Mytilus edulis: one gene and its partner. The protein of the gene in region 1 purifies or fractionates together with the protein of each later gene. This does not show direct contact. Links are inferred from orthologs where the notes say so. Each region holds a gene or a part of one and is shown on either strand. Other genes may lie near its edges.

Evidence for each region. The genes of interacting proteins can lie anywhere in the genome.
Region 2: the proteins of ubiquitin-protein ligase E3A-like (region 1) and proteasome subunit beta type-7-like purify together in Homo sapiens (affinity purification with mass spectrometry, with the first as the bait; 3 studies listed by BioGRID). This does not show direct contact. The link is inferred for Mytilus edulis from reciprocal best matches to the Homo sapiens genes UBE3A and PSMB7.

Annotation. Positions count from the first base shown.
Region 1 is NC_092351.1:84,602,442-84,609,402, forward strand, and holds the start of ubiquitin-protein ligase E3A-like, read left to right. Parts: upstream 1-3,955; 5' UTR 3,956-4,087; coding exon 4,088-4,137; intron 4,138-6,961. Other genes in the region: NF-X1-type zinc finger protein NFXL1-like, read right to left, coding at 1,098-1,281. UniProt on the Homo sapiens protein: E3 ubiquitin-protein ligase which accepts ubiquitin from an E2 ubiquitin-conjugating enzyme in the form of a thioester and transfers it to its substrates.
Region 2 is NC_092345.1:65,567,826-65,575,391, forward strand, and holds the start of proteasome subunit beta type-7-like, read left to right. Parts: upstream 1-4,552; 5' UTR 4,553-4,603; coding exon 4,604-4,662; intron 4,663-7,566. UniProt on the Homo sapiens protein: Component of the 20S core proteasome complex involved in the proteolytic degradation of most intracellular proteins. This complex plays numerous essential roles within the cell by associating with different regulatory particles.

The DNA of each region.
Region 1 (6,961 bases):
GTTTGTATAATTGTTTATACAAGCTTCGTAAATAAGATTGACATCTTTAAACAATTTATATAGGCATAGTTTAACCTGTATATATCATATTTGAATTTAATTTGGTGTTATCCTAATGATTGTACAATATACAAACAAAGTAAGCAAGCTAACCAAAGTTTTGTTCTACATGCATTAGGAAATTAGCTGTAAGTGTTCCGAGAAGAATGAGTATAGAAATATGACTATCACCATGGACAGCATCATCTTTAGCATTATCTGTTACTTTGATGGTAGGTCAATTGATGTGGAATATTGATCCAAAAGTAAAATCTTTCTATTTTTATTTAATTTCAATTACAATCAAGTTTGACATTGAATCATGTGAGTTTTTTATATATTTCTCATTGTTGAAGGATGTACAGTTGTCTATAATTGTTTACATCCACTTTATTTGATCTTAGGTGGAAAATGGTGGACAGTTGTTTCATTGGCAATGAGCATACCTCATCTCCTTCATTGTCCTTATTCTTAGCTTTGATGCTTTAATACATTAATCACTGCAAAAGGAAATCCATGATATGTTTTATTAATTTTGTATAAATTTGCATTGTGTAATAGATCAAAATTATTCTTTCAGTGTATGTTCACTTGTTTTTGTTAATCTGTCTTTTGATTGAGTTGATATTTCATAGTGTGTGTTTCTATGTTGTGATGTTACACTATGGTTTCAGGTTGGGTGAAGGTAGGCAACTATGCAACATTCAAACCCTGCTGCATTTATTTGGACCTGTCCTAAGTCAGGAACCTGATGTTCAGTGGTTGTCATTTGCTGATGTGGTTCATAAGTGTTTCTGGTTTATTATATAAATTAGACCATTGGTTTACCTGTTTGAATTATTTTACATAACTCAAATCTATTTGGGGCTCTTTATCATACATGTATTTTTAGCTTGCTGTTCAGTGTAAGTCAAGGCCAAATTTGACTTATAGTTGTTTCCTTTTAACACATTGTGAATTGGATAAAAAATTGTCTCATTGGCACTCATATTACATTTTCTTATTTTTATGTTTATCCTAAACATTGTTACATGTAAACATGGTAAAGGGAAACATACCATTGATACTGGTCTGCGATATTTCTTTTTTTGGTTGTTTGCTGGCAACACCATTTTTCCATCCATCGTCCTTGACATTGTTTTCAGAGCTACCGCCATTTGTCCATTTAGCTTTGTTTTGTTCTACATTTCCACGACCTCTGCCCCTGCCGCCTCCTTTCAGATAAACAGGAACTCCAGACATTTTCTATTTTACTTTAGTAACACTGAAATAAAGTCAATGTAAGTGAAACATAGAATTTTTTTTACATATATATATAGCCATTAAACTCAATATCAAATCAAATAATAAAGGAACAACCTAACAGTGTGAATAGATTTCACAGTCAGAGCTCAGACATAAATAAGTCTGAATCTGCTTTTGACTCATAGAGGTCTAAATTTGTAATTTTTAGGATTTATATTTACTGCAAAAGGCTATAAATTCAGTATATATAACGTACCTGAACCTTTGAACAGCATGAAAAGTGTAAAGACAATATGTCCCAGCCTTACCAACCTAGGTTTGCATGCAGTTTGGTAAACACACAAAATCAAATATCAACAAATACTGTAAATTTAGAAATTATTGGGTGCACTTATAATTGCAATCTTGTCATTCATTGTCATTTAAGACTTAAATACGATTTTTATCTTTGCGATATTGAGAAAAATCCTGTTTAATTCATTTAAAAAAATTTAAAATGCAAGTTTTAATCATTGCGATTATAACCCTGTTGCATTTTCGCAATAAAAAAAATTTGTGTTATTATAGGACCTTCTATATTTATTGTTTTAATCGTAACAACCCTGCAGGGGCTAGCTGAAGGAAGCCTCCAGGTGCAGGAATTTCTCGCTGCATTGAGACCTTTTGGTGACCTTCTGCTGTTGTCTGTTCTATGGTCGGGTTGTTGATTCCTTGACACATTCCCCATTTCCATTCTCAATTTTATAGGCCAGGTATCCACTTTAAAACTTTCAGAAAACTACTGGCAGAAGATTTACCAGGCATTATTTCACTTGGGTTTAATTTTTCATATTTTAAATATAAACATGTTTTTTTAAAAGAAAAGGTGTACATGCATATGTAGTGTAATATTTATATGGTTTAATGACATAATTCTATTTGTGAAATGTACTTAAATTGTATATACATTGATATATGGTATACATAAATGCCTCTGGTGCTGTCACGCTAGTGAATATTTTGTTGCAATATTGGGTCTCAAAGTTGACAGCAAAATTCTCTCAAAAGTTGTGTTTGGTCTAGATGTCAAAGCTAAAAATGAATACCTTTTCAAGACATCATTATCAATGATTATTATTTGGGCTAGAGCTAGCTTTTAAACCATATCTCATATGTCCTTATGACATGTATGATTATTTATGACAAATTGTATACAATAGATGGCACCCTGTAAATTGTCAAAAGAATCATGAGAATATTATAAAGACCTCAGAGATACAGTTTAGCAGCTAGAGTGAAGCACCCTAAATGTGTGTTTGCAGAAGAGTATTAGTAAACACACACACACACACACACAAATCTATTGGGAAATATATATATTTTTATAACAAACATAACCAGATAACATTTAACATGTTTAAAATATATAGTACAGCAATACATGTACATGTACCAATAAATAATTATATGCAAAAAGTTAAATTTGCTTTCTGTCAGTCCTTAATAGTCCAAATGATTATGACATCTTTAACCAAGAGTTCCAAATGGTGAAGTAAATATTACTGGTGCCATCACAAGTTGGTTCACCATTATGAAATATCAGTTTCACAGATGATATATATCTGAAAAAATATCGGATATGTTCCTTATGTCATAATATAAACCTGTTCCCTTTTTACGAATGTGACCAACCGATTTCATGTTAATTATTAGAAATCCAGTAAATAGTCTAAATCGGTTGGTCACATTCGTAAAAAGGGAACAATTGAACAACACTGTGGAGCAGGATCTGCTTACCCTTCCAGAGCACATGAGATAACCCTCAGTATTTGGTATGGTTTGTGTTGCTCAATTTATTGTTTTCTATGTTGTGTCTGGTATACTGTTGTTTGTCTGTTTGTCTTGAAATTTTTAAGCCATGGCATTGTCAGTGTATTTTTGTATTTTTGATCTATAGATGAGTTTGACTGTCCCTTTGGTCTTTCGCCTCTCTTTTGAAAGGCCATTTCATTTTATTTTGCTTTTGTGTCTTATGTCACTGAAAGGTGTAAAAAAACACACATGTAATAGCCTTGTGAGACGTTATCATTATTTGGTCTATGTCACAGTGGCGGATCCAGTTGGGGTTCCGGGGGTGCGCACCCCCCCTTTATTTTTGCCGATCAATGCATTTGTATCGGGAAATATGTTTTGCACCCCCCCTTTGCCCTGGGTTAGCACGCCCCCTTTCGAAAATTACTGCATCCGCCCCTGTGTCAGAACTGTGCTCTGACTGTCTGCCACACAGTCTGGCACTGAGTGGCAAAATAAATAAAGTTTCACGAATTGTGCCTACTGCAGTTTTTTATATGTCATAAATGGGTAATTATATAACACTGGGGTTGAATTGAATATTTTGCACTGTTTGCATTGTCACTTACTCTGACATATTGTTAATATACATATATAATTCATTAAAATTTGACAGACTTTCGTCTTCGTGGGCATGAAGTTGTATAAATTCAAAGTCAAACCGGAAAAGAATCGTGGTTCCGAATTTAAAATAGTTGAAACAGGGAACCTGTCCATTATAATTTAAACATTAATGTAATATAGAACAAGTGGAATGTAGTTTATTATATATAACTCTATAAAAATGTATTTATATATAATTTTGAAAATTGTTATGATTATTCATTCACAATAAATTATTAATCTCGCCTCAACGAGAAAACAAAAATGGCGAATTCTAGAAATTGAGAAAAATATTTGACCTTTCAAAACACATTTATTCATTATTGGGTGACTGAATGGACGAAATAAGAAGGGGAGATTAAAAATTCGTATGAGTAATAACGAGAAAACCGAAGATCAGAGCGGAACAAAAGCCGCCAGGTTGGTCTTTGAAGCTCCAAACTGTCAAAATTTGATAGACCAGGTTGACAACCAGAAAATCAAACCGAAAGTTAAGGAAATCCTGACTACGCAATACGCCATTTGTTTTACTAATAAATAAATACACAAGTTCCTCAAAAATTGAAATAACATGGAATGAGTGGTTGACACATTTGACAATGAATCCAAACAAAAAACCAAACAACACCAAGTAAACTTATTTTTTTTGTCATGCAAAATTCCACATTTGGATCTGTTGTTTGTTGAAAGAATTAAGATACAAAATGTATTTGAAAGTTGTAACACATGTCAGTAATATTGCTGACGGTGTTGGTGGTTTCAGTCATGCTCCACTGACATGACTGAGGCCATGTAAACAAGTTGCACTTTTATAAAATTTATATGTAACCCTCTTGCTGCCAGTTGTTTTTCAGGGTTGCATTTCTGACACATGCCAGAAAATATGATCGCTCGAAGTTAATGTGACGTGACATGCCAAACAATGGTTATTAGATATATGATGTCATGCCGTAATGACTGTATTAACATTTGATTGTAGAAACACTTTTTAATTTTCGGTCTTTTATTTTGAAAGAGGTACAGCAATGATGAGAAGCTTGCATACATTAAAACATGGACATATGTGTCCCACCGTCAGCAATACTGTACACCTTATCGCTAATCCCGGCTGACCCGGCCGCTTGAACTTTTGACGCATACAACAATCACTTTTCAATTGTCAGTCAGGGGACTTACTGAAATAAGTGATTTGTAAATCACTTATTTACTGAAATAAGTGATTTATAAATCACTTATTTATAAAGTAGCAAATTCAAAATTTTGTCATAAATTGTGATTTTGTAGTTTTACTAAAATTTTAAACACATAGGTTTAGATAATATGTTTTCATTAGTAAAATTGAAAAAAAAAACTTTTGCTTCTTTAAAGTAGCAAGGTTTATGCCTTTGATGCTATCATTTAGCTGTAAATTCTATTTTATTGGAAAAAATGCTATAATAATGGCTTAACTTAATGAACTGATACTTTATTAACAGATTTTTCCCAGCAGTGGGAGTATTTTTCCTGTAAAGTTCAAGGTTTCATCTTTCAGATTATGTAATAAAATTCTACTGTTCGCGATAAAAATTTCACTGTTCGAGGTTGTTGAAAGTAGTGGGGGTTATTAGAATAATGATACTTAAAGAAGTGATTTTTTGGAAGGAAATTGAGGTATGATACTTAAACAAGTGATTTTTATGTCATTATCCCAGATTCAGTACAAGGTCATCATCTGACATGACCTGGTCATCCTAAACAACACAGATGTTGGTTCTGATAAGTTTAGAAACATAATTAGTCCCTGGATCATTAATATTCTATATTTAAAACTACAATAAAATTAAATCACTTATTCTAGTGATAAATTTGTACTACTTAAATAGGTGATTATTAAAGAAAGACAACTCTTACTTTCAACCTCTATGAACATAATGTTACTTGAATCAGTGATTTAGAAAATCACTCATTTAAGTAAGTCCCCTGACTGATTGTGGTGTCAGATATTTTTTTTTGTGACGTCAAAATTTTACGGAAACATGTGATATACAGTAATGGCAGACAAATAGCAATAAGGTGTATAGGGTTAAAGAGCCTTTGTCATGTTTGTTGTTTACAGTTGGTTTGATAAGGCTCTAAAATGGCCCTCTTTTCCCCTTAAATTTCAAATTATGAATTTATTGACCAATATATCAACAAGATAATAGTGTAATTTTGAGAATTTCATATAAAAAAATGCCCAAAATTAGCAAATTTTAATCATTGTTAATTGTTTACAAAGAAAAATAATAAGATGAGGCAGGCATTACCTGTGAATGGGGACGAATTCTGTATGATTTAAAAAAAAATCAAACATGTTAAAAAGAGAAACGGAAATATCGTTTCCGATTTTGGTTCTGTTGTAAGGGATTTTAGTTGTGACGTTTTTTAAGTCATGACGTCATATTCAATGTAATCAAAGAAATGCTGTCAGCAGGTAATTTTTTTTTTTTTTTATAACAAACAATTTTTAAAAACGAATTAGTATTAATATAAGTTCCTTTCTTAGACATGTTAGACTGATTAATATACATTTTATTCAAAGTCTCATGCAAACAAGACCGGAAACGGAAGTAGATTTCTTCGCAAATCTGGAAATTCAAAACACAAGAAATTTTTTTTTGAATGATTTTGAGTTCATTAGGTACAATGAAAAATTCGGGAAATTTTCCCGATTTTAAAAAAAAAATTTTTTATTGAATTTTCTACTGTAATGGGGGACTTTGTCCCCATATTAAACATTTGTGTCAAAAGATGAACAAACTGTGAACATGGTGTACATGTAAGTGAATAAAATGAAGAAAAAAAATAAATACAGACAATATTTAATATGAAGGGCCACTTGTGTCATAATAGGCAGGCAAGCCATCATCTCGGGTAGATTCTGTCAAGGCAGCTGGAAGGGATAAGACAACTTAAACATTGTTAAAACATATTTGATCTTGTACCATTCAATTTAATAATCACAGCCAAATACAGCCCTTGCTGAACTTACTTCTTTTAATATTTACCTACATTTTCTTATTCTTATCTTCATGATCATATACCATGTATACATGTATATGTTTAGAAAGATTTTGTTACCTCAATCTGTTTTATTCACAACAATGATAGTTTTTATACGACCGCAAAAATTTAAAATTTTTCTCTTATATTTGAGTGTGAATTCACATTACTACATGTACTATAAGACGTATCAGGGTACTTATCTATCCCAAATTCATGTAAT
Region 2 (7,566 bases), on another chromosome or scaffold:
ATGGGTTGTTCTCAGCTTAATAAAGAATATTCCGATAATTTTACCTTTTTTAGCCTCGCTCTACTCTGGGAACAGTATATCTAATATATTATATGAATATATATGTTCCTGCTCTGCTCGGCGAAAATTTAAGTTTGTGTCCCTCCTTACCTAAAATGCTGGATCTGCCCCTCATATGGTTTAGGGGTGGGGAGCTCGACCGTTTCCAAGTTATCAAACAGGAGGGGGTGGAGTGGCCCAAAGAATTCCACCTATATATCATATGATTCACTTACATTTAGGTATATATAATATTGTTGCATTATTTGTGAAAATAAAGAAACTTTCAGCTACTTTAATTGACCCTTCAAAATTGAGAAAAAAAAAATAACCCTTCGAAATTGCAGTAATATGTTTACACTTTAAAAGCATCTCACATGCATTATCATCATTTATCACTGATAAAGAAAATTTTAGACTGTGACCATGAACATGTATATTGTTAGATATACTGTTCCCAGCTGTCACATTGTATTGGATTTTTAAATTAAAATTTGTCAAAAAGTAATTTTGAGTTTCTGTATAAAATATTTTTCTGCTTTTTCTTTCTTTTACATATATCTTTTGGTTTACAATTCTAGTGTCTATATTCATTTAAATACCATGCATAGATTTATTTTTTCACCTGCTTTGAATGATCGCCAAACCCGGAATTTTCCTTATCCGCTTCCGGAATCGGATCCTATATTGTAAAATTTTGTCTTCACGGTCGCCATTGTTGTGTTTACAATGTTGTTTTTGTCAATCAGATACGATTTTACTCGAATTTATACAATATTTGTCGGCGAATTTCTGTATAAAGCTAGCGGTTGAACAAAATGAACATCGCTGTCATGAATAATAATGATAAAAATAAGTTTTTAGCTCGTTTAATTGGAGACTTTGGTGACTTGCATGGAGGGTTTGCAAAGTAATTTCTTATTTTCTTTCAAGTGGAAGGTAAGCGTCGGGCGATGCTAGAAACCAACTATCCTAGTCGAAATTCCGCTTGCAAAAGTGGAAGGTCGCGGACCTCGGACCACCGCTAATTTGCACACCTGCCTCCAAATTGAAAAGCTACGAAAATTTCTTTTTCTAATTTGAAATTGCCGCCAACTACTGACGTAATTGTACTACGTATTGATGACAAACAATATCCCTACGACTTTTGCCATTTGGGAAATCTAAACTACTTGTCTTAAGAGATTTTCGGCGATTAAATATTTCATACAATTGTTCTTTGACATCTTAGCTAAAAGCACAAGTCATAATGAACTACACAAGGATTCTTAATAAGCACTACTTCCTACGTGTAACTTCAAAACTTTTGGATAAATCGACGATCATTTAAGGTTTTTCTGGTCATATTTTTTGTAATCCAGAATAAAAAGTATTAAAAAAGTGTTCAATTAGTTATATATAACATAGTAGCGAGCTAGATAATAACAATGGAAAGTATTTCACCATTTATTGGGTAGAACACAAATCTAGGGTGCTCGCATAATGCAGCTTAACTGCATAAAAATCATTTCTAGTTTATCTTTTCCTTTGATCATGATCATCTGGTTTACTATTTCTGAATCTGTAATTTGCATTGTATAAAAGTAACATCCCAGGGTCAGATTAATAAATTTACAAAATTGTATCTTAAAAGATAATCAAAGGGCAGATTGCTCTGAGGAATACTATTGTCATTGTTTTCATTGACACATGTATTTATTATTTCAAAAATAATTCAACTGCACGTGTAAAAGAGGGACGAAAGATACCAGAAACTCATAAATGGAAAATAAACTGACAACGCCATGGCTAAAAATGAAAAAGACAAACAGACAAACAATAATACACATGACACAACATCGCAGTACTTATCACCTATTTTCCTATGTGAATTCTAGGTTGAACCCCATTCCTAACTCTTTTAATATTTAATTTCCTTTGGGTCAGTGGGCATTCCTCTGTTTAAATTGCGATTGGTTTTAATATAATACAACGTCTATCAACAGAAAGATTTTTTTTCTTGACGTATTGTCGTTGACAGATACTTACAGAAGCTAGGGAGACTAGTTGAGGGAGACAACACGAAGCGATAATATGGAAGACTCCATTTTGGCTGAAGGTGTGTTCTTATAACATCTTTACGTTGTGGACTACATTTCTTTTAATTTCAATGATGCATAAGATTTAAAATTATGCAACAACAATAACCCTCAATAGCAGACAGACATAGAAAGGATCTCGTGAGTTGGGAATCTAGAGCAACCATTCAATCTGATACCCTTTCAAGTCAAGAAAACTATATGCATGCGCATAATTACCTAAACAAACTAGACTTGTGATTTGTAGCAAGGACATATATAAAATGTTAATAAAACGACCTCCATTTCCATGATTTCTTTATGGAAGTACAATATCAAATATCAGTTTCATAACGGTGAGGGCATGGGCCTGAGTCAATGGTATAAGTCTACAGATTGCTTAAAAGCAATCCCATCCCAAAAATAAAAGAAGAAATCAATATTAGTCATTATCATTATTTTTTTTAATGTAAAAGAAAACTAAAGAAACAAATATTAATGGAATAAGATGAAATACATACATGTTTGATAAATCATCTCTTAAAATTTTACAAGTCTGATAAACATGATAAAAACTTTATCATCATGATCATAATCAGGCGCGGATCCAGAGGGGGGTTCCGGGGGTTGGAACCCCCCCTTTTTTTTTGGACGATCAATGCATTTGAATGGGGACATATAGTTGGAACCCCCCCCTTTGTCCTGGGTTAGGAACCCCCCCTTTTTAAAATGGCTGGATCCGCCCCTGATAATCATGGCTAAAAGTAAAACTTGTAAACATGGTTAAAATCATAAAGTTATTTTTCAAAGTTATAAAAATGAAAATAAATGAAAATATATACAACACCTTTTCTATAGCATAAAATTATAAACATGATAAATGGGGAATGTGTTCATGGGACCCAGAAGATGCCCCTGCTTGCATATCATTATAAAGGGACATTACTGAACATGCTGAAGAACAGAAAAAGTGACTCTACCAAAATTTGAACTAAATCATGTTAATCTGAGTTTTGTGGTAATAAGACATGTAAGAATTGTGCAAAAGTTTCATAAAATTTGGTTTATGCAAACTTAATTTAGACATGTAAGAGAACAGATACAAAACATTCAGCAATTTTTCCATTCATAAAGGGGCATAACTCTAAAAATTTTAGTGACAACTTTTGTGGTAAGAAGCATAGTGTAAAATTTTCATAACATTTGGTTGAGGGAAACACAAAATTCAGCAATTTTTCCATTTGTCATGTTTGTGAAGGAGCATTACTCTAGAATGGTTAAAGTGAGGCCCCCCCCCCAAATTCAAACTTGATCTTTATTTTGTTGTTTTATTAGCATTGTGTATACATATATACTTAGTAAAGTTGAAGATGAGCTTCATTTCTTATTAGAATGCCCTCTTTATGATATTCAAAGGGACGATTTTTTTAAAGACATTTCTAACAATTGTTGTAATTTTACAAATTTAAATCAATCTTCTAAATTTGTACATGTTGTATGGCTCTTGACCCAAGAAAATGTTACTCTTATGGAAAAACTGGGCTGTTATATTTGTGACTGTTTTGAATTAAGGAGATCAGGTATGAACACTGACACTAAGTCAAGTAAATAATTTGAGAATTAATACATATACATGTATAATGTAATTTTATTATTCTTTTATTCACAATATATACAATGTGTGTGGTTTTTAGCTTGATTCTGACCAACGCTTATATTCCAAATATATATGTATATGCCACTATTGTTGTTGTTACCAATTATGTAAATCAATTGTATCTGATTTTATGCCCTTTATGGGCCCTGTAATTTGGGAAATAAAAATATTCTATTCTTTTCTATTCTATATATGTAAGTTTGATTGCATTTGGTTGAGGCAAACTTAAGTCAGAGAACGGAAATGAAAAATACATAGTCTGAAAATAACACCAAACAGTGTTAGAGTTAGGTTTTCTGCTGATAAATTTTTGTCTGTCCCTCAACAGGATTTTAACTTACACCTTTAATACACTACAGCACCAATTGCTTAGCCTCATGTCCAGTGCTCTAGACCACTCGACCAAATCCGCTGTATAAAAATATAACTTCAATAGTCGTAGTGTTATCTTTTCACAGAAGGCGAATCTAGAGATAGACATAAGACACGTGTAATTTATATATATATATGACATGTAAACTGTACCATGACATAGTCAGCAGATAATTTCCACTGGAACTGTAGTTTTTGATAGCTAATGCAGGAAGAGTTCACCAAACAAACAAGCATATTTGTACAAACAAAATTAAAAAATCAAATTATTTAGTGTTGCATAATTATTCTGCATTACTTTCTTGATCTTCTTTCTTCTTCAAGTTCTTGGTTAAAGAAAAATAAGAAATCTCCCGCAAAATGTAGTTGTTATCAATAATGCAAGAAGAGTTCCGAGCGAATATTTCATCTGGTTGCCGGTCAATGATTACTATGATTCGTGAGACTCAACTCTCCAAGGTACCAGATACAATATTGAATGATGGCTGCCCTCACAGAGTTACCAACCGGTGGTTTTAATTTCGATAATTGCCAGAGGTTTAACTATTTTTAGATATAATAATGATGAATGTTCAAATGACGCCTTTTCAGCATTATCTTTAAATATAAATTTCCCTTCTTTCAGTACCCTGGAAACGATTATCTTCTCATTTGAAAACGACAAGCAATGACTATGCAACTTTGTGTGAAAAAAATATTTATTTGTATACAAAAATGACAAATTTAACGAATTTTCATTTTGATCTACAAGAAAAAAGCTCAGAGGGTTTTCAAATGTGATGATTTCTTCAGCATTGTATATGTATTTTGTGGTGGGAGCTGTTGGTCTTCAAAATTACAGACAATAGACTCTTATTTTTTTTTTATTGTCCAAATAATTTATAATTTTAATGTCTGGCAAAGCTATTTTATTATTTTTCTGTGATGCCGTCCTACGACTTCATAAGGCTGAAGCCATTTTTCACGTCTGGACTTTAAGAGCAAATTTTGGGGGTAACTTTGAGACATAATTTTGACAAGAATTTTTTACATAGTTTCAATGTCCTACCTTTTTTGTGATTATCACTTTTACATTGTGGCGTCAGATGTTTTGTATTATGACGTCAATATTTAAAGGAACCTTTGTGATGTCCAGTAATGGCTGACAAATAGCGATAAGGTGTATTAATACAATAGAAAACCCAATTCAATTAATATTTTACTGAGTGTTTAAAAACCCAATTCATTCAAAGTAGAACCCAATTATTCATGTTATTTATTAAAACTATGCATTCTGCATTTCACAACCCTTTAAGTTGCTGTTACATTCGTTATTTATCTTGAATGATGAATTATTTTTGTGTGATTTATAAATTTCTATTTTTGTATTTTAAAGAAATCTACTTTTTGTTCTTAAAATAGAGCACTTTTAAATAAACCATTGTAATTACTCTGGAGATTTTTGCTCAATTACATGTACTTTAATGTAAATATAAATGAAGCGATAAGGGTTGAGAAGTTACAAATGGCAGATCTAACATGGGTAACTGAGTCCTTGTTTGATTCATTAAACATTTGTCCATTGCTAAAATTTGTAGCTCTTTATTTAAAACAAAAATGCACTATTTCATAAAAATTTTCTTTTTATAACACTAAGGCCAGGGTTTTTTAATTTGTTGGTTTACGGATTTTACCCATGAAAAAGTCGAGTCGGTCGGTCGGAAAAAAAAGAAAAAAAAATATCTTTCAAGACAGAAAAATATGGAAAACAAATATATATTTTATCTTTCTAACAATATGTTTGTGATGCTATTTTATCATCATTTCTTAGATTTTAGTTCGATGAAATCAGCTGTCATAAACATCGCATGACATTCTAATAATTTCCCGTAAACAAAAGGGGGGGGGGGGGGGGGTGCACGTACAAAGAAAATTAATTTCAGAAAACTTGGCGAATTATGATCTTCAAGCACAAAAACTGATAAAGAAAAAAAAATGTAAAAACGTCACGAGTATGAAAGTAAGTTTCAACACACGTGTCAACAAACGTAATAGACTCGTCCACTGGAAAAAACGAGGATATCGGGTTAATCTGTGTCATGCATTACTGTTTTCACAGTGTAGATACTATTCTGTACGCTATCCGGAAGTCGCGATTTTCGAAGCGAGAACTTTTTGGATCACATTTTAAATTTGATAGGTATACTGAATTAAACGGTAAGTTGATCATCTGTACATTGCTTAATGATTAATTCAGCTGGCATCGATATTTTCAAATGGTTAAGAATTAAATTCCGCACAATCATTATTCGTATCTTTGCCTTAATCAAGAGATTTTCAAGTGCATCACTAAGAAAAATCAGTCGGCGAACCTAAACACAATCTTTTTACCCTCTTAGTGTACAAATCAACATAAAAACCTGACTTAATTAACTAAATGAAGTATATTTCAAGTGGTGGTAAAAGTTTCAACCAGATCTTTGAAGCCAGAAATAAGAAAATTACACTTGTTTGAATTTCTCACTGTACGATCAGTCTCGCTTGTATATTTAAAACTGTATGATCAGTCTTTATGTCACTGTATTCTAGTGGTGATTTCAAAGTTATTTACGATACATTAGAAGGTGGCATTTTTCTAAATAACACAAATATATTTCAATGAATTCACATCCTGAAAACTTATGAAACATGTTTTAGCTTTATAGGGTGTACTCGACTTACTACATTAAGAATAAGGATGTTTAAATGTTGCTAAAATAAGAGAAAGGTTTGATGTATACTAGTATATAAGTTTCAGAAATGTCCTCCGTTATTCTTAAAATTGTACAAACACACAGATTTAGTTGTTATATAAAAATGCATGTATTTACACACATTCGAGGCCGTACTGTAGCCAATAATTGATCACAGATGTAGAGCTGTCTCTTTGACACTCAATTGTCCACCACTTTGTCAAGCGGGGGGTTATAGTGATAAAGAATTCCGTCTTTCCGTTCGTCCGTTGGACCGGTACAATATGTTTCGCCAGTTTGGTAAGCGCATCTTCTCATAAATAACTTAATATACATTGGGGGTTCCGGCCATTTTTAAATGGAGAGGGGATCCAATCCAGGAGAAAAGGGGATTCCATTTATGTTATCATAAATGATAATGACTGTATTGTGAACCGTCTATTTCAAATTTTAGTAAAAATCTTGTATGGGGTTACTTTATATAAGATACGGACTTGAACATTGCATTATATGGGGACACCCATCAGGTATTTCCAACACCTCCTAAACCAATCATTAAACTTTTCTGAAATTGCTCCATTTTTACTCGATTAATGCATTATGGACCTTCTATTTCTGTAAACTTACCAAAATTATATCACATGAATTATCCCCCTACGCAAAGCTGTCTTTATCCATTTTTTGTTATTTTAAAAGAGACAATCTTGATTTATGTTATCATCAATTGTTC